Linked DNA regions of Drosophila melanogaster. Changing the gene in region 1 together with any one later gene gives a genetic interaction. Each region holds a gene or a part of one and is shown in the gene's direction. Other genes may lie near its edges.

Region 1 (9,090 bases):
CCTTTTATATGGAGTGCAAGCGAATGCAAAAACGATGGCGCTTGGACTACCTACCCTCTTTGCTGAGCACTTTCCTGATCAGTTTTGGAGCAGCCTGCATCCAAAGTTCGTCCTTGATTCCACGATCCGCTGGAGGCAGACTAATTTACTTCGCCCTGTTCCTGATCAGCTTTATTATGTACAACTACTACACTTCCGTAGTCGTTTCATCTCTACTAAGCTCGCCCGTCAAGTCCAAGATAAAAACGATGCGGCAGCTGGCGGAGAGTTCCCTAACCGTGGGCTTGGAGCCACTTCCCTTCACCAAGAGCTACCTAAATGTTGGTTTCATTCCATTCCTAACCATTCTTAACTGCAAAGAGCTTTTTTAATTTCAGTACTCAAGACTACCGGAAATACACTTGTTCATAAAACGCAAAATCGAATCGCAGACCCAGAATCCTGAACTCTGGTTGCCCGCTGAGCAGGGTGTTTTAAGGGTCAGGGATAATCCTGGCTATGTCTACGTGTTCGAAACCTCTTCCGGATATGCATATGTGGAGCGGTACTTTACGGCTCAAGAGATTTGCGATTTGAACGAAGTTCTATTTCGACCCGAGCAGCTATTCTACACGCACTTACATCGCAACTCCACGTACAAGGAGCTCTTCAGACTTCGGTAAGCCCTTATGCTACTCTTCCAAAAGCAAGTATAACTAAATTTTATGCTATTCAAAAACATCTTAAATGTATTAAAATCGTATGTATTATTTTAGATTCCTTAGGATCCTGGAAACTGGTGTCTACCGGAAGCAGCGCAGCTACTGGGTGCACATGAAGCTGCACTGCGTGGCCCAGAACTTCGTCATCACCGTGGGAATGGAGTACGTGGCTCCTCTGCTCCTCATGCTGATCTGCGCCGACATCCTGGTCGTGGTAATCCTGCTGGTGGAACTGGCCTGGAAGCGCTTTTTCACGCGTCATCTCACCTTTCACCCGTAGTGCTTTAAAATCGCTTTAAGCTGCTGTAACAACTATATTCTATTTGCACCCAGGAGAAAATAAAAACACTTTGCGTTAACTTTTCGCATCGCAAAATTATGCAGGGCGACGCTTTCCTCACTTCCTGTTTTCGCGCCGGAAAATTGCAGCACGGCTCGTTAAACGGAGGGATGGATAAAGGGGTTTGCAAAGGACGTGGTGGCCATGTTTCCATGCGATTTTCGTATTTGCATTAAAAACTTTTCGTGTTTGGCGGTTACTTTTTATACTCCATTTTCCCTTTTGGCAATGATTTTATTCATTCTCTTGGAGCCATTTTATTTGCATTTTCGTGCACGGCCACATTCGAATTGAAACTTTGTTCCCCAATGCCACGTGCGAATGTTAGATAACTGATTGTGAGCCTAATACGGCCTATTAGAAACAGTTAACAGTTGTGTTTTTCGCATTTCCCCGAATTTCACCGGAATCAGTAGTTTCCCTACCGCAGACATCGCATGTTGCCCCGAGATGATTTATGGTATTTTAATGATGGCGCATCGCCAGAGGCGACAAATATGGGAAGGGACGTGTCAAAGCTTTATCGAAATTGATTGTACAATAAATAAGAGTGAGTTGAGTTCGCACAAATATTATTAAATTGGGTGTAGGAGCAAATAAATGGTATTATATGGCTGCTAATCAAATACGCAGTAAATTATATATTTTTTCAAGATTTTACATTTGCCTAAGTCAAGCAAATAGTATTAAGAACTTCGTTCTTAAATGACTCCCAGTCGACCATTAAAATGCAACTGACACAACTGCTTGCCAAACAGCACTCACTGGCATTCCGGAATTCCCAAAGTATTACTATAACAAATTGCCTTAACAATTTGTCAACTCAATCTGGCTGTCAACAGGGCATCGCTTTGGCCATAGTTTATGCCATGAAAGGACTACTTTCCCTTCGCAGGGAGGACAACTTTGGAGTGACTCGAAATTGACAAGCAATTGTGAATTATTTATTATTTACAACATCGAACACGGGTGTCCCTTTTTATCCCTAGCAGCCTTAACCACTTTATTTTGCAATTTGTCAACAACATGTTCTCTTTTTTAAATGCAATGTATAGCCCTGTGGCAAGTAAAAAGTGTTCCATGCTTTGCGGCTGCGGTGTGAAATTGGTTTTGGCGGTTTCCGTACGTGCTAAATGAGCGCGAAACGGATTTAATTTAAACGGAGCTATTGTGGATGGGAAAACGATACCCGAGAAATTTATTATGACCAAACTCTTGGCCGGTACGATTATTAGACTTAAGTGTACGGGAAAAGATAAAAAGGGGGAAGCGGGCTTATGGCCATCACCTCATCAGTTTGATTACCCTTTCTGTTCCCCAGAGCCTGTCATATACGAATTGCCATTGCCAGTGATATCTTAAGATTTATATGGCCCAATGCTGCGAACGTCTTATCTGTAATTTAATCTGCTGGCCACTTAACGATAATGATAATGTCGATTGCAACTGGTCCGGCTGTAATCTAGGCCCGTATTCGACGAGTCCTCAGTAGATTTTCATTGCTCGAGCGGATTGAGTGGCAGCCGGAAATAATTCGAAAGTGTACGTACGGCTGGTGTTTGGTATTCACTCGGGGGAGTAATGTTTATTGCATTTTACGCCGGATTTATGGCCGTAGAAAGTATCTCAGGGTTCCGTTTCAAATGAAATTGTTATAAAATTAGCCAGCATTTCCAGTTGAACGGGTAAATGTGATTTGCATAGCCGAACCGTTTGTCATCGAGTTAAATGACCTCCGTTTGGTTTACTGTGTAACTTTAAAAAAAAAAAAACAAGTGAATTTATCGATACTACTTTTTAAAATCTTTCTACTAGAAAACAGGTGTTTTTGAGCTTAGGAGCACTTTTCGGATTACGCATACGCCACGTGCGCCCGTTGAAAAACAATAAACTTAGAGGGAACGACCATTAGAGCTTACTTGATATTGGGCAGCACAAATTAAAGCTAACAGCGCTATCCGCAATTAAACTGCCTAACTTAAAGTTAAGCGTAATTAAAATAGCTATGACTTATTCAATAACAGGTGCTAATTACGAAAGCTAACACAAACACGAAGTTTGAAATACCCTCCAAAATACAGTTGCTAACTTGATCGTTTTCAATACATTAATCAAGAGCTAGCACATGCGTTCAAAAGTATTGGAAAATCTTTAAGAACCCTTCGTAGTGACACAATATCTTCATAATCTAATCTATACCAGTTCGACTATCGGATTGCTTGGGATCTTTGAATGCCAAAGACCGCTAGCCGATAAGCATTTCCCACCATAAAGAATCACAAGGTTCGCAGATTTTCCCCCATCGAGAAATTCGAACATCTTATCGCTATCTTCGCACTCTTGAGAAGAAGGGGTATTCTAAACCCAATGCGAATGCACTTGCCAACTCGAAAAACGTGACGTTCGCTGACCGACCTCAACTCCCCCGCTTTTGCCGCTCGAATCAAATCGAATCAAATCGAATTGAATTGAATTAAATGATACTATATATGTAATCTGTAATGTGTGCTACCTGCTAGCGATCTACGTACGATCAACCTGCTGATCGGCACTTTGGCACTTGCTGCATCTTTTAATTGTTTTAGTTTTTATGCTGCCGCTGGCAACTCGCGTGATACCTCATACTTGGGCTCCCAGCCGCTTGGCTCCATTGTAGTCGCCGCTTGTTATTGGTTCTCGTTCCGTTGGGAGGGTTCGCACAGGTTCAGTCACTCACCGATCGCCTCGAAGCGCGAATCGTCGTCGCCGTCGTATCCAACAGTTCTCGGAACCTTAGAACTACCAAGCCGAAAAATAGTGGCAAGATGTACGGTTGTACTTTATAGTGAACAAGAGCAGTTGAAGAACCCATTAGTGCTATGAAAAGTTATAAAGTGCAATAGAAAGTTAACTCTATGTAAACATTTTTACATTTGTTGTAAATTCAACCTTTTACATATTATATTACATAAAATGCGAAATTAAATATCAAAGGCTTAAAATTTCTTATGGAAAAAAAATTATTTTATCTATTAATTTACTGATTAAAAAGTTATATTTGAAAACGAAAATCCCTTTAAGCACTCTATGCTTCAGAATTTTTTTTTCAAGATATATGCAAGATCTAGCATTCTCAATTTACCAGTGATATTTCGAAATAAATTTTGAGTATCGGGTATCATATTTTTTGATAGCAAGCAAAAGTAACTGGATAGGAAAGTGCACTGCGAATTGGGTCAACAACTTCATAACTGCGCAAATGGATCAAGTGAATCTCTTGAATGAGTCAGTGGCCAACGAAGTGCAGGACGGCTAAAAAGCATTTGCCTGGTCTCTGAATTAATTAAATTAGTTAATTTGTTATAATTATTTTACAGTTAGCGTGCCTTTTCTTTGTTGGCTAACAGGGCTCGTGCTAACTGTTGATTACATTATTTGAATTGGTTTGGCTTGTTGCAAGGTTAACTTAAATGATCTGGATAATTAAAAGCTGCCAGTCAAGGGCGCTAATGAGAATTGGGAATATATGCATTGAACGGTCTAGATTATATTATCCCATCTGTTGTCCCCATTTCCTCTTCGATCTATTATCAGTCACAAGTTCTGTCGGATGTAAACAAATCAATTCATCTGCACTTTGCACCACCGAAAACATTGCCAAAAAACTGTGATATATATACGTACATCTATATATCCGGTAAAATCGCACATATGTAGTTTATTTCCCGCTACAGCTGAATGTTATCTAAAATCTTATTTATTTAAAACCTCCAAACATTGCAAATTAGCTAGTTATATAGCATAGTTAAATGCCTGAGAAATGTGTAAAGTAATAGTAATAGGCTACTTTATTACAAATTCAAATAGTAAAATAGGAAATACGTGTGCACCTCCCGTGAAAATATCCCGCAAGGCACTTAGCTATATAAATATGAGTCTTTTAACCCGTCAAACCCTGAGTCTGAACTAAACAGCTGTCTTTTCCTACCTTCAACACAATTTGTATATTTTTAAGCATTTATTGCACGTACTTTCCATATATTTTAGCGACTTCCCCTAGTGACCATATTATGTCAAGTTCAAGACTGCTTACGCACATGCTCGGCTTGGGAAATTAAACAATTTATTTAAATTCGACTCGAGCAGTAGTATTTGCTCAGCTTAGAAGAGTGAATAGCAGTTTCTTTTAAGAGTATAAATAGCTCATAGCTGGGAAAGAGAATTCAATTAATAGTTGGCCCATTCAAAGTAAATTAAGTAAGGTGATCATGAACTAAGGGTACGGCGCTGATTTGTTTCTTGGAACAAATAAATGTTGAACTAAAGCTACTAAAAGAAACTGTTATTATAAAAACGTGATATTGATTTCGTTGCCGTTTTGAAGTCTTAAAACCACCTTCGTTCACGCTTGACCAATTAAACAATTTGCGTAAATGCTAAAGCTTTTAAAAAGAGCAACATTAATTTTTTTAGAGACAAATAAGTTGTTGATTTCTTAGGAGAAACTAGATGAGTTTAGATTAGAGATAGTAAATGGTAAAAAAAGTTATGAAGTGAATCAAATAAATTTGTTGGATTTGCACTAAAAATATTAAACAAAAGGGTTTTTTAATTTTTGTTTAGCCGGCTCAATATGACGGCAACCAAGCAGCAAGAGGCTGAGGCCGAACATGATCCCCAAGTGGTGGTCACCCCTGGAGACGCCTCTCGCAGCTCTCGCCAAGATCGGGGTCTATGGCGGGATCTTACTTCCTACTGGATCCTCGGTCTGTGCAACAACTACGGATACGTGGTGATGCTGAGTGCTGCGCACGATATTATCAAGCAGTTTAATCCGGTAATTACAATAGGATTATAGCACTTTTAATACATTTATTAATTGTTCGCCTGCATAATTTTTTCTTTTTAGAATGATGAATCGGAAGAAAGCTCGTCGGGAAGAAACTGTCACTTGGTTTCAACAGGTGCCATCTTGCTGGCAGACGTGCTGCCCTCATTATTTGTCAAGATTCTAATGCCATTCTTTCCATTTTGGGTGAAGTGAGTACTATCTACAATATTAAATAAATTTGATTTGATGCATTAAACTTGATATGATACTAACACAAAATCGCATTTTATTTATTAGTTTCCGTATAGCTCTTGCCGTGGCCTTTTCTGCAGCTGGTTTCCTCCTGGTTGGATTCGCCAATGCCGAATGGATGGCTCTTTTGGGTGTCATCATCACTTCGGCTAGCAGCGGAATAGGAGAAACCACTTTCTTGGCCTATTCTTCGCGATACAATAAGTGAGTTGTCTGGTAAAAGTACTAAACAAAATATCATTAATTCCATATGTTTTTCTTAGGAATGTGATCTCCACTTGGTCGTCCGGAACTGGTGGCGCTGGAGTTATCGGATCCTTGAGCTATGCTAGCTTGAGATCCTTAGACTTCAGTCCCAGAGATACTATGCTGATTATGCTGATCTTCCCTGCGATCGAGGCCTTTGCATTCTGGTTGCTGCTTCGTCGTCCACAAGTTGATATATTGCCGGTTACCACGGTTGAGTCCACGGAAGTCCTGATCAGCGATGAGAAGCCATTAGTTGGGTTCAAGGAAAAGCTCTTCTATATCAAGCACCTCTTCAAATATATGTTGCCCCTTTGCCTGGTTTACTTCTTCGAATACTTCATCAATCAAGGATTGGTAATTTAGCTTTCTTTAATTCATACAAAAAAACATTCATTGTCATCCATTTTTCAGTTCGAACTGGTTTACTTTGAAGATATATTCCTGGACAAGGACTCGCAGTACCGCTGGCTAAATGTGGACTATCAGATCGGAGTCTTTATCTCGCGCTCCTCTGTCAATCTCTTCCAGCTGGACAAGATCTGGCTGATGTCCATCTTCCAGTTCGTCAACGTGGTATACTTCCTCACCGAGGTTATCTGGTGGTACACGCCTAGCATCTGGATCGTGTTCGCCATCGTCCTGTGGGAGGGACTTCTGGGCGGCGGTGCTTACGTGAACACCTTCTATCGGATGTCCAAGGAGATTTCGCCGGAGCGCCAGCAGTTCGCCATGGCCATGGTGGTACAGTCGGACTCCTATGGCATTGCTCTGGCCGGATTTCTGGCCATTCCCGTGCACAACGCCATCTGTGGTCTTCCGGCCGCGGCCAGAAGCCTTGTTTGGTGATACGGATCGAGGATCAGAATCAGGATCAGATTATGCCTTTACTGTGTGCGTGTTTAGCCAAATAAGCGTGTGTGTCTGTGCATGTCCCTATAGTATTAATCACTGGATCACTGGACATCCGGTAACCAGATAGATCGTTGTATAGTTAGTATGCTGCTGTTAGACTACTCTATAAGTTTAGTTTAATAAAAAAAAAAAATAAACACTACACTGTACATTCGATTTCATTTAATTTCAACGTACCCAGATGCAAGCACTTTTCCGAAAATGTTTTCCTTGGCAAAGTTTGGCTTTTTCGGCACAAAGTGCTCACGGCTAACCACTTTGATAAGCACACTGATCCCAGACAGAATGCGCCCCACTTGCTCTGAGTTTATTCAACTGTCTCCAACAAAAAGCCTCTTAAATTGTACGTATTTACACTACCTACACATTATAATTACTTAGATGGAGCTGCTCGGTTATTAAATAAACTTGTTGCTTGTGGCTTCTAATTCGGTTTGATCGGTTTCAAATCGAACGCCAAACGATCGGTTTGGCAGTGAGATGCCGGCTGAGACAGATTGGGAGATCGAGACCCAAACCGATTTGGGGCGAGATGTTACGTGGACCGCTCGCCGTTTCAGTTGATCGGTAGCTGCCGTGCAAGGCAGTCGAATATTACGCGATTGTCTAATACGTAAGTTGAGTAACCAAGATGCGGGGCTTATCAGCGTTTCTGCTTTTGCTCTGCCTCCAACGGGTGAAGTCGGACGAATCTGCTGCAGCACGGCGCCCCAACATAATCATCATTATGGCCGACGACATGGTGGGACTAGTTTCGCCGTCATAAATCAACCCATTTCTAAAGCAAACACTCTCTCAGGGCTTCGATGATGTGAGCTTTCGAGGCGGACGGGAGTTTCTAACTCCCAATATCGACGCCCTGGCCTATCACGGTCGTCTACTGGATCGGCTCTACGCTCCGGCAATGTGTACTCCATCTCGGGGAGCATTGCTCAGCGGCCGGTATCCAATACACACGGGTTAGTATCGATTACCTTTTGTATACCAGGGATTGTTATTATCAATGATTTGAATCAAACCCACACAATTCATATATTGATTACCGCAGGCACACAGCACTTTGTAATCAGCAACGAAGAGCCTTGGGCCCTGACCCTCAATGCCACATTGATGCCGGAGATCTTCAAGGAGGCAGGCTACTCCACCAACCTGGTGGGAAAATGGCATCTGGGCTTCTCGCGCCCGGAATACACGCCCACTCGGCGGGGATTCGATTACCACTTCGGCTATTGGGGCGCTTATATAGACTACTTCCAGAGACGATCCAAGATGCCGGTGGCCAACTATAGTCTGGGCTACGATTTCCGGCGGAACATGGAGTTGGAGTGCCGGGATCGTGGGGTTTATGTAACTGATTTGTTAACCGCCGAGGCGGAACGATTGATCAAAGACCATGCTGATAAGGAGCAACCCCTATTCCTGATGCTCAGCCACTTGGCTGCCCACACGGCCAACGAGGATGATCCTCTGCAAGCTCCCGAGGAAGAGATTCAAAAGTTTTCCTACATTAAGGATCCAAACCGAAGGAAATATGCAGGTAATTACACTTTAATAATTAAATGCTTATCCCAAACATGACTTATCACATATCTAATCTAACCCCTAGCGATGATCTCCAAACTGGACCAGAGCGTGGGACGTATAATAACCGCTCTGTCTTCTACAGATCAACTGGAGAATAGCATAGTGATCTTCTACTCGGACAATGGAGCTCCATCGGTTGGTATGTTCTCTAATACGGGTTCAAATTTCCCACTCCGCGGACAGAAGAATACTCCGTGGGAGGGCGGCGTACGGGTGGCTGGTGCGATTTGGAGCTCCGGGCT
Region 2 (6,274 bases), on another chromosome or scaffold:
AAATATGGATCCAACCAAAATCTTGGTTGTTTGCAAATAATAAGAGGTATGTACACTTCGCAAGCTGTAATAATCCCAAACGAAAGACGAGGTTGTGGGTTAAATTACTTATTCATAAAAGACATTAAAACTAGTTAGTCTAATTTAATTTTAATTCCGTGCAATATTGTATCTATATCATACATTCATATCCCATCAGCTAAAATCTCATGACACCCTAATTGTATTTAGTATAAGTTAGGATAGTTTATTCATTTACTCGAGGGTATATACAATTAATGTTAAAACTAAATAATGATCGAACAATTACAAGACGACTTACATAATTTAACTAAACTCTAGAACTAAGCGCTACATGAAATACTTCAAAGAATAGTGACAATTGTGGCACCATTGTAAAATAATTCAATTCCATTAAAGATTCATGATTTTAAAATAATAATACCGCAAATTACATAGGTTTATATATAACACATATAAACAGATCGGGCTGCTCGAACATGGAAATAGCTGAAAAACTTTGGCAGAATGCGAGACGACAGGTCGAACAAAAGAGAGATTAACGTGGACATCAGTAAATATTCAAGATACATGCATGCGTCTATGTACTATATGCGTAGGCGTAAAGGTACAACAAAGTCTTTGTGTTTGAGATACGGGTCTGTTGGGTTTTTCTGGGCGAGCAAGCAAGCAGCAGCGGCTGGCAACTAAATCAAATAATAATGAGCAAATAACACAGCTAGCACAGCAACAGGGTTATGTGGTGGTGGCGGCAACGATCTACAGCAGCACAAACTCTTCGCTTTCACTATCATCTTGGTCGTGCTCATCGCCGTGCTGTGGCGGCGCCAGTTGAGCGCCCAATTCCTGGGCCAGAGAAGCCACCTGTTTTATGAGCGGCTTGTACAGCGAATCGCTCATTTCGTCCCGCTCGTGATCCATGCAACGACCGCGGGAAAATGAGAACAATGGATAGTTCATCTCTGTTTGCTCGGTTTGATGGGATGACTGAGGCGTCGTATGATGGCTCCCGGCCGCCTTATCCACAGTTGCCCCTGAGGCGCAACGCATAGGATGCAAATACTGTTGAAATTAAGATATTTAATAGGACGTTGGAAAACGAAATGTTTGGCTTTTGCTTACCAACTGTACGCTCTCCATAAAATTGTCGAAATCACTTTTGGTGGCACAGTAAAAGCCGATACAACAACTAGGATCCATTTTGCTGGCCTTAAGCTTCCGCGGCGACTTGCAGTGAAACGAGTGCAGGGAGAAGTTCTCTTGGTTCACATCCACCATCTCCTGGCAATAGTGCGGATCCAAGTGGATGAGCCTGTCCTCCTGGAAGCCGACAAAGTACAGCGAATGCTTTGGCTTTCCACCAAGGATGCCCAGGCAGTGTTCTGTACTCAGCAGCAGCTTCAGACAATGGGCATACACAGGATTCAGTTTATCACTGCCCAGGCGCAAAGGTATCAGAACGATGAGGGACTTCCAGTGCTGTTGTTGCTCCGTTTTGGTAGTTTCCGCCTGCGGCCGCTTCGCTTGTTGCCAAGGCACATGGGGTTTTGGCGCCGGTTCCGGAATGCTGCATTGATCCTCAATATCTTGCAAGTAAACTAAAACAACACAAAGACGGTTATCAAATCACATACGTTATCAATTGAGCCCCTGAGTAATGAGCTTCGCGAACAAGGTTGCAGCAATTACTCATGAACATATCAATGTGTCATGGTAGTTATCTTATGAATCTTTGATTAAGGGATTCCTTTCTGCTTGAACTTACTCGTGCAATCTTTGGCTACATAGACACTAATATTGTCAAAGTCTGCATTTTCCTGAGCCGCGTGCTCTAAGGCGTGTCTGTGGTGAAGTTGAAGAGTTGTTTGATTTAATAAAGATTAAAAAAGCGATAAAGATCTGTACTCACTTAAGCAAATAGGAAACAGAGGCGGGACCGTACCAATCGCCAGGTTTTTTACCCAAATGCTCCCCCAGCCGCACCAGGGCGTGGATGGAGAAGGGACTGCTTTTTGAGGAACTGTCCCCGAACCACTTGACGATCTTCTTATGCATATTGTCCTCGTAAGTCGAGTGCAACTGGGACTCTGAATCATAGCGCCAGCCTGAAGCATAAAGGTTTATTGGTAATCAAACATATTTGTGCGGGTTCATTTAACTTACTTCGCCCTAGGAAGTGACAGATGAGTCCTTGAGCGAAGAGCATCTGACCACTCCTTAGCATACAGCCCCAACCGCAGTCCGAGGTGTAGTTGGAGCCATTCATTATTGGGAACTCTCGACGGTAGGTCATCCAAATCCTACTGTAAAAGTCACGACGAAAGCCTTCGATGCCCTCCTCCCAAGGCTGTTCGCCCACTTGGTTCTCCACCGCGTCCATTCCCAGTTCCTGGGGCACCACAATCTCATCGATCTGCTGCGGATTAAGGGCTGGATACAAGGAGGTTGATGTCGATGTGGCCTGAATGCTGTCGAACGCCGATGTGGCGTTATCGGGGGTGGTATCCGCCCCGCTGGGCAGCTCGGTGATGGAACTTTCCATGCTTACGGGCGGAGTAAAGCGTCGATGATAGCACCGTCCTAGCAGCCACACGGGCTGCTCCTTTGAGAAGCTGGTCTGCCTCATCTTGCCGCTCCAGCCATACTTCACATTGTGCCACATTGCGACGAGCTTGGACTCCATGCCCTTGGTGGGAGTACGGTTTGCCGACAGGTCACCGGGTTCCTCGTTGTGCTGCTCCACGTGACCGCAGCTCGGACCGCTGTTGCCGCCGCCGTAGAGCTGACTGAAGGCGTTCATGAAACGTGATGACGTCGATATTTTGCGCTGCGGAGTCGCTGTCGCAGCGTTTTCCGTCTTGAGGTTCAGATTGGCACCTGATGTGCTTACGGGGGAGGGGGAAGGGACGCGTGGAACGGCGAATACAGTGCGATGAATCGTCTGTATGGGGGCCGCCTGCTCCTCCTCGATGGCGCCGTCCTCCACCAGCGGCAAGGAGAGCGGATCCGCATCCTGGCCGCATATCCGGCTACCCTCTACAATGGTCCCCTCGCCGGCGGCTTCGAAGAGCATCAGTTTTTCGTCGGTCAACTTGGAAAGGAGGCCGTCATAGTTCATCTGGTTGGTGGCCGTGGACGAGGACATGAAAACAGAGGCGGAAGTGGTAGAAGAGCTATGACGCTTTGTCCGCAGCTTGCGGAACTTAAAGAACTGCGGCATTGTAATCTTGGTGCGAGCCCCTTGCTGGCCCTGGCTTAACTGACAACCGACCACCGATTGCGTGCTAATTACAAATGTTTACTCACCGTTTATTTGTTGACAAAATAAGATAAAGTAACTCCACGAAATTTGTTTTTCTTATTCGCGAGAAGTACAATTGCCAATTTCAGTGTTGCCAGACTGCAAATCTGCTCTATTATGAATATGTAGGTAATGTGTGTTCTTTTTTACGTTTATCTACTAATGAGTTCAAAATGAATAGTGAATTTTGTTATCAACAGGTTTGTGTTAAACTATTTTTAAACAATTTGTATCTTTATCTAAAATTCTTATACATATAATATTTGAATTAATAAATTAAAAGGCGCCTGGTATAGGTCTGCCCTTGGCATGTCCATTTAATAGTAATATTTTACGCGGAAAACGATTTCTGGAACACCCTTATTTACTTCCGGCATGTGTGCGGTCTGGCAGCTCCGCGACAAGAATGACCAGCTGTGCGGGTGCTAAAATTCTATTGCGCAACGCTGAATTTCTAAACACTCGCTTCGCCCCACACACAACATTACTGACGACAGCCGCTCAAAATGGTAAGTAATGCAAATTCCTGCAAATAGAAGCGCTTAGCTAATCGAAAACAATTCGATGTCGCCGTCCAGCAGGGCCCAATTCAAAGGTTGGTGTACACATTTGGTCATCGCACCTGTAGCCAATTGCCGATGATCGGCGGAGCAACGATATCCCAAACAAAACCAACAACAATGGCTCTCTCCGTTCGCCAATCCTCCTCCTCCGTGCTGGCCACGGAGTCCTCTAACAAGGGAATGATTATTCTGAACCGGCCCAAGGCGCTTAACGCCATCAACTTGGAGATGGTACGCAAGATCTACAAGCACCTGAAGAAGTGCGAGAAGTCCAAGTCGCTGGTGATCATCAAGGGCACAGGTGACAAGGCCTTCTGCGCCGGTGGAGATGTGCGCGCTCTGGTCGAGGCTGGCCCTACGGATGAGTCGAAGAGCTTCTTCCGGGAGGAGTACAGCACGAATGCCCTGATCGGAAACTATAAGATTCCCTACATCGCCATCATTGACGGTATTACCATGGGCGGTGGCGTGGGTCTGAGTGTGCATGGCAAGTACCGGGTGGCCAGCGATCGGACACTGTTCGCCATGCCCGAGACGGCGATTGGCCTCTTCCCGGATGTGGGTGGATCATACTTCCTGCCTCGACTGCAGGGAAAGCTGGGCCTCTATCTGGGTCTCACAGGATATCGACTGCGCGGAGCCGATGTCTATTACTCAGGCATTGCTACGCACTACTGCGAGAGCAGCAAGATCCCTGATCTGGAGACGGCTCTCCTTAACTGCCCGGATGCGGATGATGTGCCTGAGCTGCTGCAGAAGTACCATTCCCCGCCAGAAAAGCCCTTCTCGCTGCAGCCTGTCCTGGAGCAGATCAACAAGAACTTTTCAGCGGACTCGGTGGAGGGGATTCTAGAGAATCTGCAGAACGATGGCAGTGAATGGGCCAAGAAGACGCTTGAGGTGAGTGGGGCACAGTTTACTAAGTGATAAGAACACAATCGGATGTTAATTGGCTGGGCCAATCATCGCTTGACGCGCGCTTTTAGCGCCTAAATATTTGATCCGTTTCCAGCCAATTAGCAACGCTTTAGTTGCTGCACGACTTTTCTTAACTGAATAAGTTACACTAGCTCACAAACTCACACCCCACACCTTGTTGCATTTTTCTATTAGAGTTGAATTTTATTATTGAAATCAGACACATTGCTTTTTTCTTTGTTTTAGACGCTCTCGAAGATGTCTCCCACCTCGATGAAGGTTACGTTCCGTCAGTTGGAGCTCGGATCACAGCTGTCGCTGGCTCAGTGTCTTATTATGGAATATCGTCTGGCCGTGCGTCATCTGGAGCGAAGTGATTTCAAGGAGGGAGTGCGCGCCCTACTCATCGACAAGGATCAGAAGCCCCAGTGGCAGCCAACCAAGCTGGCCGATGTCACTGAGGAACATGTGCAGTGGTTTTTCCGCAAGCTACCGGACACCGAGGAACTCAAGCTGTAATGTAGCAAGCTTAGTTTTGTTTTTGTTTGAGCCTTGGCATCCAATCCTGTTTGTCTTCCGTTGAGCCGCTCATTCTTATATGCACACAACTTAATATCTTTGTATATATCATTGCAAGCTTGAGTTATGTTATGCATGGTTCCTTGCCTGCCGTTTTGCAATATTCTTTATATATCTTTAGCGTTCTGTGGCCACAGTTTGATGAGTTCTGTCGGCTAATTTTCCGCAATCTCTTCTCTGTTTCATTCCAACAGCGAATAACTTCGAGGAAGAATCCTATTCGCCGGTATTTACCAATAACGATTGTGAAATTCAATGCATTTAAATATATGATATACATATATGCCTATATATATTATGTACAATTCGTAGTCCTAATACAATCAATAATTGTGCCTAAAGAATCGTTAGAATTCGTTTACCAAGAATAAAAAGAAGTGTATACGTTTAATAACTGATCGTTGTTGGTGACTAAGCGCTGTTATCCTTTAGCTTGATACTGTCCTCCACCATGTTTGTCAGCTCGACTAGCTTATCGATCTGGGTGGCCTGAAAGTTTAGTTTGCACAGCTCCTGCCTCCAGGATGTGACATCCACTCGCAGTTGGACGCGAATCTTATCATCGTCAGACATTACAGCCGAGCTTCCAGTCGAAACAGTCGCGGCTCCGCCACTTTTTACATTTCGCAAGCGTCGCAATGACTCCTCGGTTTTCTGTACGGATGTGAGCACATCGCTCACCACATTGAAGTACCTATAGTGCGAATAAAAGTTCAGAGAAATTCGAACCCATCGTAAAATTATACTCACGCCTTGGTTATGTGACTAGCAACTTCCGCCAAGATTTGTTCCACCACCAGGGTGCCAAGCTGGGACTCGTTCTGCTGGGCAAATGCCTTCAGCGGTCGCAGCATTTGCTCCACATAGCTCGAACATCGTGTGGGAACCTCTC
Region 3 (6,656 bases), 8.7 Mb from region 1:
ATCCAGAGCTTTTACGAAAGGTGAAAGCAATAAGAGTACAACAGAACAAGAGTTAGCAGCAATTCATTGGGCAATAATACATTTCAGACCATACATTTACGGAAAACATTTCACTGTGAAAACAGACCATAGACCATTGACATATTTATTCTCGATGGTGAACCCCAGCTCTAAATTAACTAGAATAAGGCTTGAACTAGAGGAATATAATTTTACAGTAGAGTATCTAAAGGGCAAGGACAATCATGTAGCAGATGCGTTATCAAGAATAACCATCAAAGAGCTAAAAGATATAACTGGAAATATATTAAAAGTCACTACAAGATTTCAAAGTAGACAAAAATCCTGCGCAGGAAAAGAACAATTGGATTTGCAAAAGCAAACCAAAGAAATAGCTTCAGAGCCCAACGTATACGAAGTCATAACAAATGACGAGGTACGAAAAGTAGTGACATTGCAATTGAATGACTCGATATGTTTATTTAAACATGGAAAGAAAATTATTGCAAGATATGATGTTGGTGATCTTTATACTAATGGAATTCTTGATTTAGATCAATTTCTCCAAAGGCTTGAATTGCAGGCCGGTATATATGATATCAGCCAAATCAAAATGGCACCGTGGAAAAAAATCTTTGAACACGTTTCAATAGATAAATTTAAAAATATGGGCAATAAAATATTAAAGAATTTAAAAGTAGCGCTACTTAACCCGGTGACCCAAATAAATAATGAAAAAGAAAAAGAAGCTATATTGTCTACATTACATGATGATCCAATACAAGGAGGGCATACAGGCATTACAAAAACCTTGGCCAAGGTCAAAAGACATTATTACTGGAAAAATATGAGTAAATACATAAAAGAGTACGTAAGAAAATGTCAAAAATGCCAAAAAGCAAAAACAACAAAGCACACAAAGACTCCAATGACGATAACTGAAACACCAGAACATGCTTTCGATAGAGTTGTTGTGGACACAATTGGTCCACTACCCAAGTCAGAAAATGGTAACGAGTACGCAGTCACTCTCATATGTGATTTAACCAAGTACTTAGTTGCCATACCAATAGCAAATAAAAGCGCAAAAACAGTCGCAAAAGCTATATTTGAATCTTTTATTCTAAAGTACGGTCCAATGAAGACGTTCATAACGGACATGGGAACAGAGTATAAGAATTCAATAATTACTGACCTGTGTAAATATTTGAAAATAAAAAATATAACATCAACAGCTCATCACCACCAGACAGTTGGAGTAGTAGAAAGAAGTCATAGAACTTTAAACGAGTATATACGATCCTACATATCGACGGACAAAACCGATTGGGACGTATGGCTTCAATATTTCGTATACTGCTTCAACACGACCCAATCTATGGTACATAATTATTGTCCATATGAATTAGTTTTCGGTAGAACAAGTAATTTACCAAAACATTTTAATAAACTACATAGCATAGAACCAATATATAACATAGATGATTACGCTAAGGAGAGTAAATATAGGTTAGAGGTAGCATATGCTCGAGCAAGAAAACTTCTTGAAGCACACAAAGAAAAAAATAAAGAAAATTATGACTTAAAAATAAAAGACATAGAATTAGAAGTAGGAGATAAAGTTTTACTAAGAAATGAGGTAGGTCATAAATTAGACTTTAAATATACGGGGCCCTATAAGATAGAAAGCATAGGAGATAATAACAATATTACGCTACTTACTAATAAAAACAAAAAACAAATAGTTCATAAAGATAGATTAAAGAAATTTCATTCATGATTGAATTTAAACTTATATTTTCCTTAATCATTTATACAAATTTTCCATACACTACGTATATTTTTATCTTTGCATTATAAAATCAACTATTGTTGTTCAAACAAAAACACAAACAAAATAAAAATAAAAATAAAATAATTTGCATTTAATAATCAAAATAACTTCACTAGGTTACGTTATTTTTCAAAAGGAGGGAGATGTAGTATGTGCCTATGCAATATTAAGAACAATTAAATAAAATAGCATATTAACTTATGGCAGCACTTTGTTGCTATGTTTATGTTTATGCACGCAGTTAGGCCAGGGCGGATGTAACATGATCACCCACTCGAAGGCCACAAAGTATAAGTGCATTGCCCACTCGAAGGCAAAAAGTATAAGTGCATGGTCAGCATTCACACGCCGACCAAATACATATTACATACGTACATACATATCTCGCTCTCCCGATAAGCCTAGATATATAAGATATACATAAGAACGCCGCTCCGCTGCTGGCGTACCCGGCAGCGCAGCTACGCGGATTAGCCTAAGTCAAAATATATAAAAAACTGTAAAATCGGAGAGACTCTGTAGACGTTGAGCTGACAGAACCATTTCTGCCTACTCTAAAATCAAAAGAAGAAATTGAATAAATATATGTCAGCCCGACGGCTGCCTTCAACTTAAAACGGACTTGTGTTCTTAATTGGAGTTCATCATTACACGAGAGCAGTTGTAGAACTAAAATTGTTGTGCTATATCGCTAAACGGTGAACGGTAAATATTGAAGAGAGTTTTCCTGGCTTCAATTTTCCTTTGCAATCGCCCCCACCATCCTTGGAATTTTGGGTTTTTTGGAAGAGAAAAACACATGTGGTGTGTCGCCACAGTGTTTTGGTTTTTCTCGGCCGCCCAAGTAGACGGCGCGTAGTTTTTCATTTTGACGGGAGTTTTCCTTTCGGTCGTCGCCTTACACTCATTTCTAATTGTGATTCGTAGGAAGTAAGTTGTCTAGTGCTATATATATATATATTCAAGTAAAATTGTTTTAAATCGGAACACACAACAATAATATATACAAGTAAACACCACTAAATATCGGAAAAGAAAGAAGAGCAAATAATTAAATTACAAAAGAAACCAAGAGAATATCAAGCTAAATCCCATCATCCCATCATCCCATCGTTTTTGGTCTTCTGGTTCTTGTTCATCACCGACGTTATTGATATTGATATTGAATACTGGATATTAAGATACATATATACAAACGCATCGTATCTGGGATAAACGTTCATCACAAGGAATATTAATGATACGCAAAGGCTGTAACTGTAAACTGTGTCCCCTCTCACGTAAGACGTAACGTAAGGCAGCCTGTGGAAACGACGTAGTTTGGACGCAATCAGAAAAATCTCCAAGGAGGACGCAGCTAACGGTGAGTTTTCCTGATGACAGAACAGGGGATTGCTTTTGGGTGGGGGGAGGATGAATGTCACTCGCAGGGAAAATGAAAAATGCCAGGCGAAAATTCTTGGCCATGCAACTCGTTTGGCCGCTCTGCCTCTTTCGCTCCCGCGTACGCTTATGTGTGTGTTTATGCAGCGGAAAACGTGTATTCTTGAGAAAAACCAGAAAATCGAAACCCGGAATTGGGTCAGTATGTCACACGCCGTCCCGCTCCCACCGATTCCAATTCCGATTCCGATTCGAGCTGCTAGTCTGGCTAAAAACTCTGGCTAAAACGTGTTTCGTGCTTAGTCAATTTGTTCTTTTTCATCTAGTCGCAGCTGCGCTGCCGCAGTTGGCGTCGCTGCACGGCCACTTGACTAAAAGCGGCCTAAACAGCATCGCCTCCAGAATGCCTAAAAAACAAAACAACAACATGTAGTGCCGCTGCACGTGTGCGAAAGAGAGGGCGGCGAAAGGTGGGAAAAAGACAGAATGTCTGTCACCCGCGCGACCAACTTAAATACCCTGTACTTATGTGAGGGAATATTGTAGAACAGCTTATTAGTATAGATTCTACACAATAAAACCGTTTAATCATATCACGAAATATTGATAATTAGTACATACAAAACATATGTGGTTTTGTCAGCATAACAAATAATATTATAATAATATAAGGTCAATACATGAGATTTTTAGGCCCTAATATAATTTTCCTAGAGGCAGAACTGCTTTTTTATTTATTATTAATTGCTAGATTCTTTTATACAAAGATAGTTACTTTTTAACTTACACATGTATGTACATATGTATGTGAATGTACATATATGTATATGCTGAGTATCTCCTATTCGCCAGCTTATCTTTTGTGATGTAAAATGATAAATGGCTCGCTCTCCGACTTTCGTAGTTTTGCCTCTCTCTAGTTTTTCGGCCACTCGCTTCACTTGATCTTGCACTCGGATTTCGGCCGAGTTGCAGTCGACAGCGCTGTCAGCGTCGACGGCGACTGCGGCGGCGGCGCTTTTACCTTGAGCACGCCTGCACTTGTCACAGCCCCTCCCCCCGCCCACCGACTCACACGCCGTTTGAATTTGAACTTCTGAAAAAGCCAACACCTTTCGAAATTGTAGCCGCTTTTATTTCTTTTTCTTTTGCCTCCGAGCAGCGGCATTTTTATATTTCTGATGTTTGCTAATAAAATTATTACGACTTGGCCGACAGCGGCTGCTAATGCGTTTTAAGGTCGCCGACGCTGCTCTTGTTGATTTTGATCCAATAAAAAAATGTGATGATGCCCCGCTTAGATTTCTCGGTCCATTTAACATGTGTCCATTGGCCCAGGATCCGATTTGATTTATTTCAAAGTTATTTATTATACAGTCAGGCGAAAAGCAAAACAAACATGAATGGGGAAAATTGAAGGCAAATGGCAGACAGCTGGTGCTCATTTTCCGGGATGCGAAAAAGGGATAGAATTGGGATAGTGCACTGAGAAAAATCAGTGAAAGAGTTCATATCATATCATACTGCATATGTTTGCATCTCAAGAATCTCTTTGTATGAGTAGAGATCAAATGGATAAGGAAACAGCTTTCGTTCATGAGATGTCTATCTCTAAAAACTACTTATAGGTGGAAATTTATTCTAGACAAGGGTAGAGAGCACTGCAAATACGTATCCAAAAACAACTCCCCAGATAATTCATCATTACATCATAACCGTTGCGAATTCATGACTAATGGCCGATGATTTTTCTCTCTGTGGGGAATACGCGACGTCGTGGGATAGGGATAACAACACGGAAGAGGCTCCATTATAGGTTGCTGGTTTACTAGTTAACTGGGCTCCAGCCAAGGGAGCGAAAGGGAAAGGTGACGAACGAGAGGGAGAGAGCGAGAGAGCTAGGGGGAATCTGAATTACAGAGAGTGGGCGGGGGTGGTGACACTGACAGTGGAGCACCTTCGTCATCGTCAAACATTCGGGCTGTATAAGAGCAATAAATAATGCACACGAAGAGCAGTGATGAGAGCCAATGATATGGGAAAATATCGGACGAGAAATTCGACAGAGAGAGAGAGAGAGAGAGAAAGCGGAGAGAAATTTGGGGGGCGAGCGTAAGAGATTCGCCTTGGGGGGTTGATTGTGTTTAATTTTTGCACTTAAGAGCGCAAAAAGTGGCTTTGATTTTCCGCCGGCCCTTCTCACGCAGCTTGGGGCATGCCAACTTTGATGGCCGATTTGACCAACCCCCAGGAGGGAATTCCCAACTTGGCTCATTAAATTGATAACATTAAGCAGGCGATATTTAATTTGATTTTCTCCAGACACAAACACAATCTGATACACAAATTGTATAGATTCTATAAGTTATAGTTTTCTGAAGATTTAAACTTAAAACAAAATTACTGTACTGTTTTCATAGTGTAAAATACCTATGCTAATTTTAGTTTTCGTGGCACTTTTAAATATTATACATAAGCATGATAATTTGTCAAAGTTTCTTGTAGTGCATATATTTTTCGCAGAGAGCATCCACTCAAAAATATTTCCGTATTCTTGGCAACATTGTTGTTGGCGATGGGTTAGTGGGCGGAAAAGTGGGTGTTGCGTGGGCAGTCGCCCCACATTTGCATGTTCCCAACACGGCACACATTTTCTCGCTTCTCTGCGCCGCTCACGCGTCTCTCTCTCTCTCGCTCTCTCTTGCCATTTTTCTCGCTCTCTGGACGGATGCCCAAGTATATAGCCCAAAGTCCCAAATTGGGATAGGGATGCGAAGGCTATAGCGCTAACCTATATAATTTTTTGTGTTCCGCTTCTAACAACAAGCACATCCTCTGGTGGTGCTCCAACCAAAAAAGGAAGGAAATCAAAACCTCTGGCAGTTGAAGGTTCTTTTTTCCTACACACTTTTTTAAAGCAGTTGCTGATTTTAATATATATTTTTCCACGTTTGTGGGGGCAGAGCAGCAGCGTTTTTTTTTTTTTTTTGCATTGCTTCTGGCTTTGAATTTAATGTTAAGTATACGCATCAGTGAACTCAATTTAATTATCATGATTGTTTCGTCCGCTGCCTGTCTTTGCTTTCGCTCTGCTTTGCCGTTGATGAAATTCAAATTTTCCAACTTCACAAACAGACGCTTCTCGCAATTTTCCAACGTGTTTTCCGCTGTTTTTTTTTTGTCCAGCTTATGTAAGTGAAGCGCTGAGAGCTGATAAAAATGAAATGAAAAAAAATTACCTAGCTAGCGGACGGACGGGACTGGCTGGCCATAATTACGAGCTTTAGATTCGCTCGCCCTTCGCCCATTTTTTATCAGTGGCGTTATTTATGCGTCCTCCCACAATGACAAAGTTTCACGGAGTGGTTGATAGTGTGGGTGGGGGGGCAGTGGTGGTGGTGGTGGGGGGTGCGCCTTTGATAGACAACAATTGAGCATT

Evidence for each region.
Region 2: of Cln3 (region 1) and Hibch, changing one enhances a phenotype caused by changing the other (phenotypic enhancement), as found in Drosophila melanogaster (one study listed by BioGRID).
Region 3: of Cln3 (region 1) and bol, changing one enhances a phenotype caused by changing the other (phenotypic enhancement), as found in Drosophila melanogaster (one study listed by BioGRID).

The regions. Positions count from the first base shown.
Region 1 is NT_037436.4:17,807,553-17,816,642, reverse strand, and holds Cln3 (Cln3), read left to right. Parts: upstream 1-2,523; 5' UTR 2,524-2,583; intron 2,584-3,751; exon of another isoform or gene 3,752-3,847; intron 3,848-5,643; 5' UTR 5,644-5,653; coding exon 5,654-5,857; intron 5,858-5,929; coding exon 5,930-6,060; intron 6,061-6,148; coding exon 6,149-6,307; intron 6,308-6,366; coding exon 6,367-6,706; intron 6,707-6,763; coding exon 6,764-7,198; 3' UTR 7,199-7,412; downstream 7,413-9,090. Other genes in the region: Ir75a (ionotropic receptor 75a), read left to right, coding at 1-320, 378-658, 756-981; CG32191 (uncharacterized protein), read left to right, coding at 7,896-8,006, 8,064-8,223, 8,313-8,801, 8,871-9,090.
Region 2 is NT_033777.3:15,353,490-15,359,763, forward strand, and holds Hibch (3-hydroxyisobutyryl-CoA hydrolase), read left to right. Parts: upstream 1-3,739; 5' UTR 3,740-3,828; coding exon 3,829-3,831; intron 3,832-3,900; coding exon 3,901-4,785; intron 4,786-4,991; exon of another isoform or gene 4,992-5,049; coding exon 5,050-5,322; 3' UTR 5,323-5,774; downstream 5,775-6,274. Other genes in the region: Atg4b (Autophagy-related 4b), read right to left, coding at 781-1,083, 1,144-1,619, 1,787-1,863, 1,931-2,126, 2,185-3,139; Cog2 (component of oligomeric golgi complex 2), read right to left, coding at 5,794-6,076, 6,133-6,274.
Region 3 is NT_037436.4:9,126,438-9,133,093, reverse strand, and holds the start of bol (boule), read left to right. Parts: upstream 1-2,738; 5' UTR 2,739-3,197; intron 3,198-6,656. UniProt on the Drosophila melanogaster protein: RNA-binding protein that plays a central role in spermatogenesis. Required for meiotic entry and germline differentiation, at the transition between G2 and M phases of meiosis I.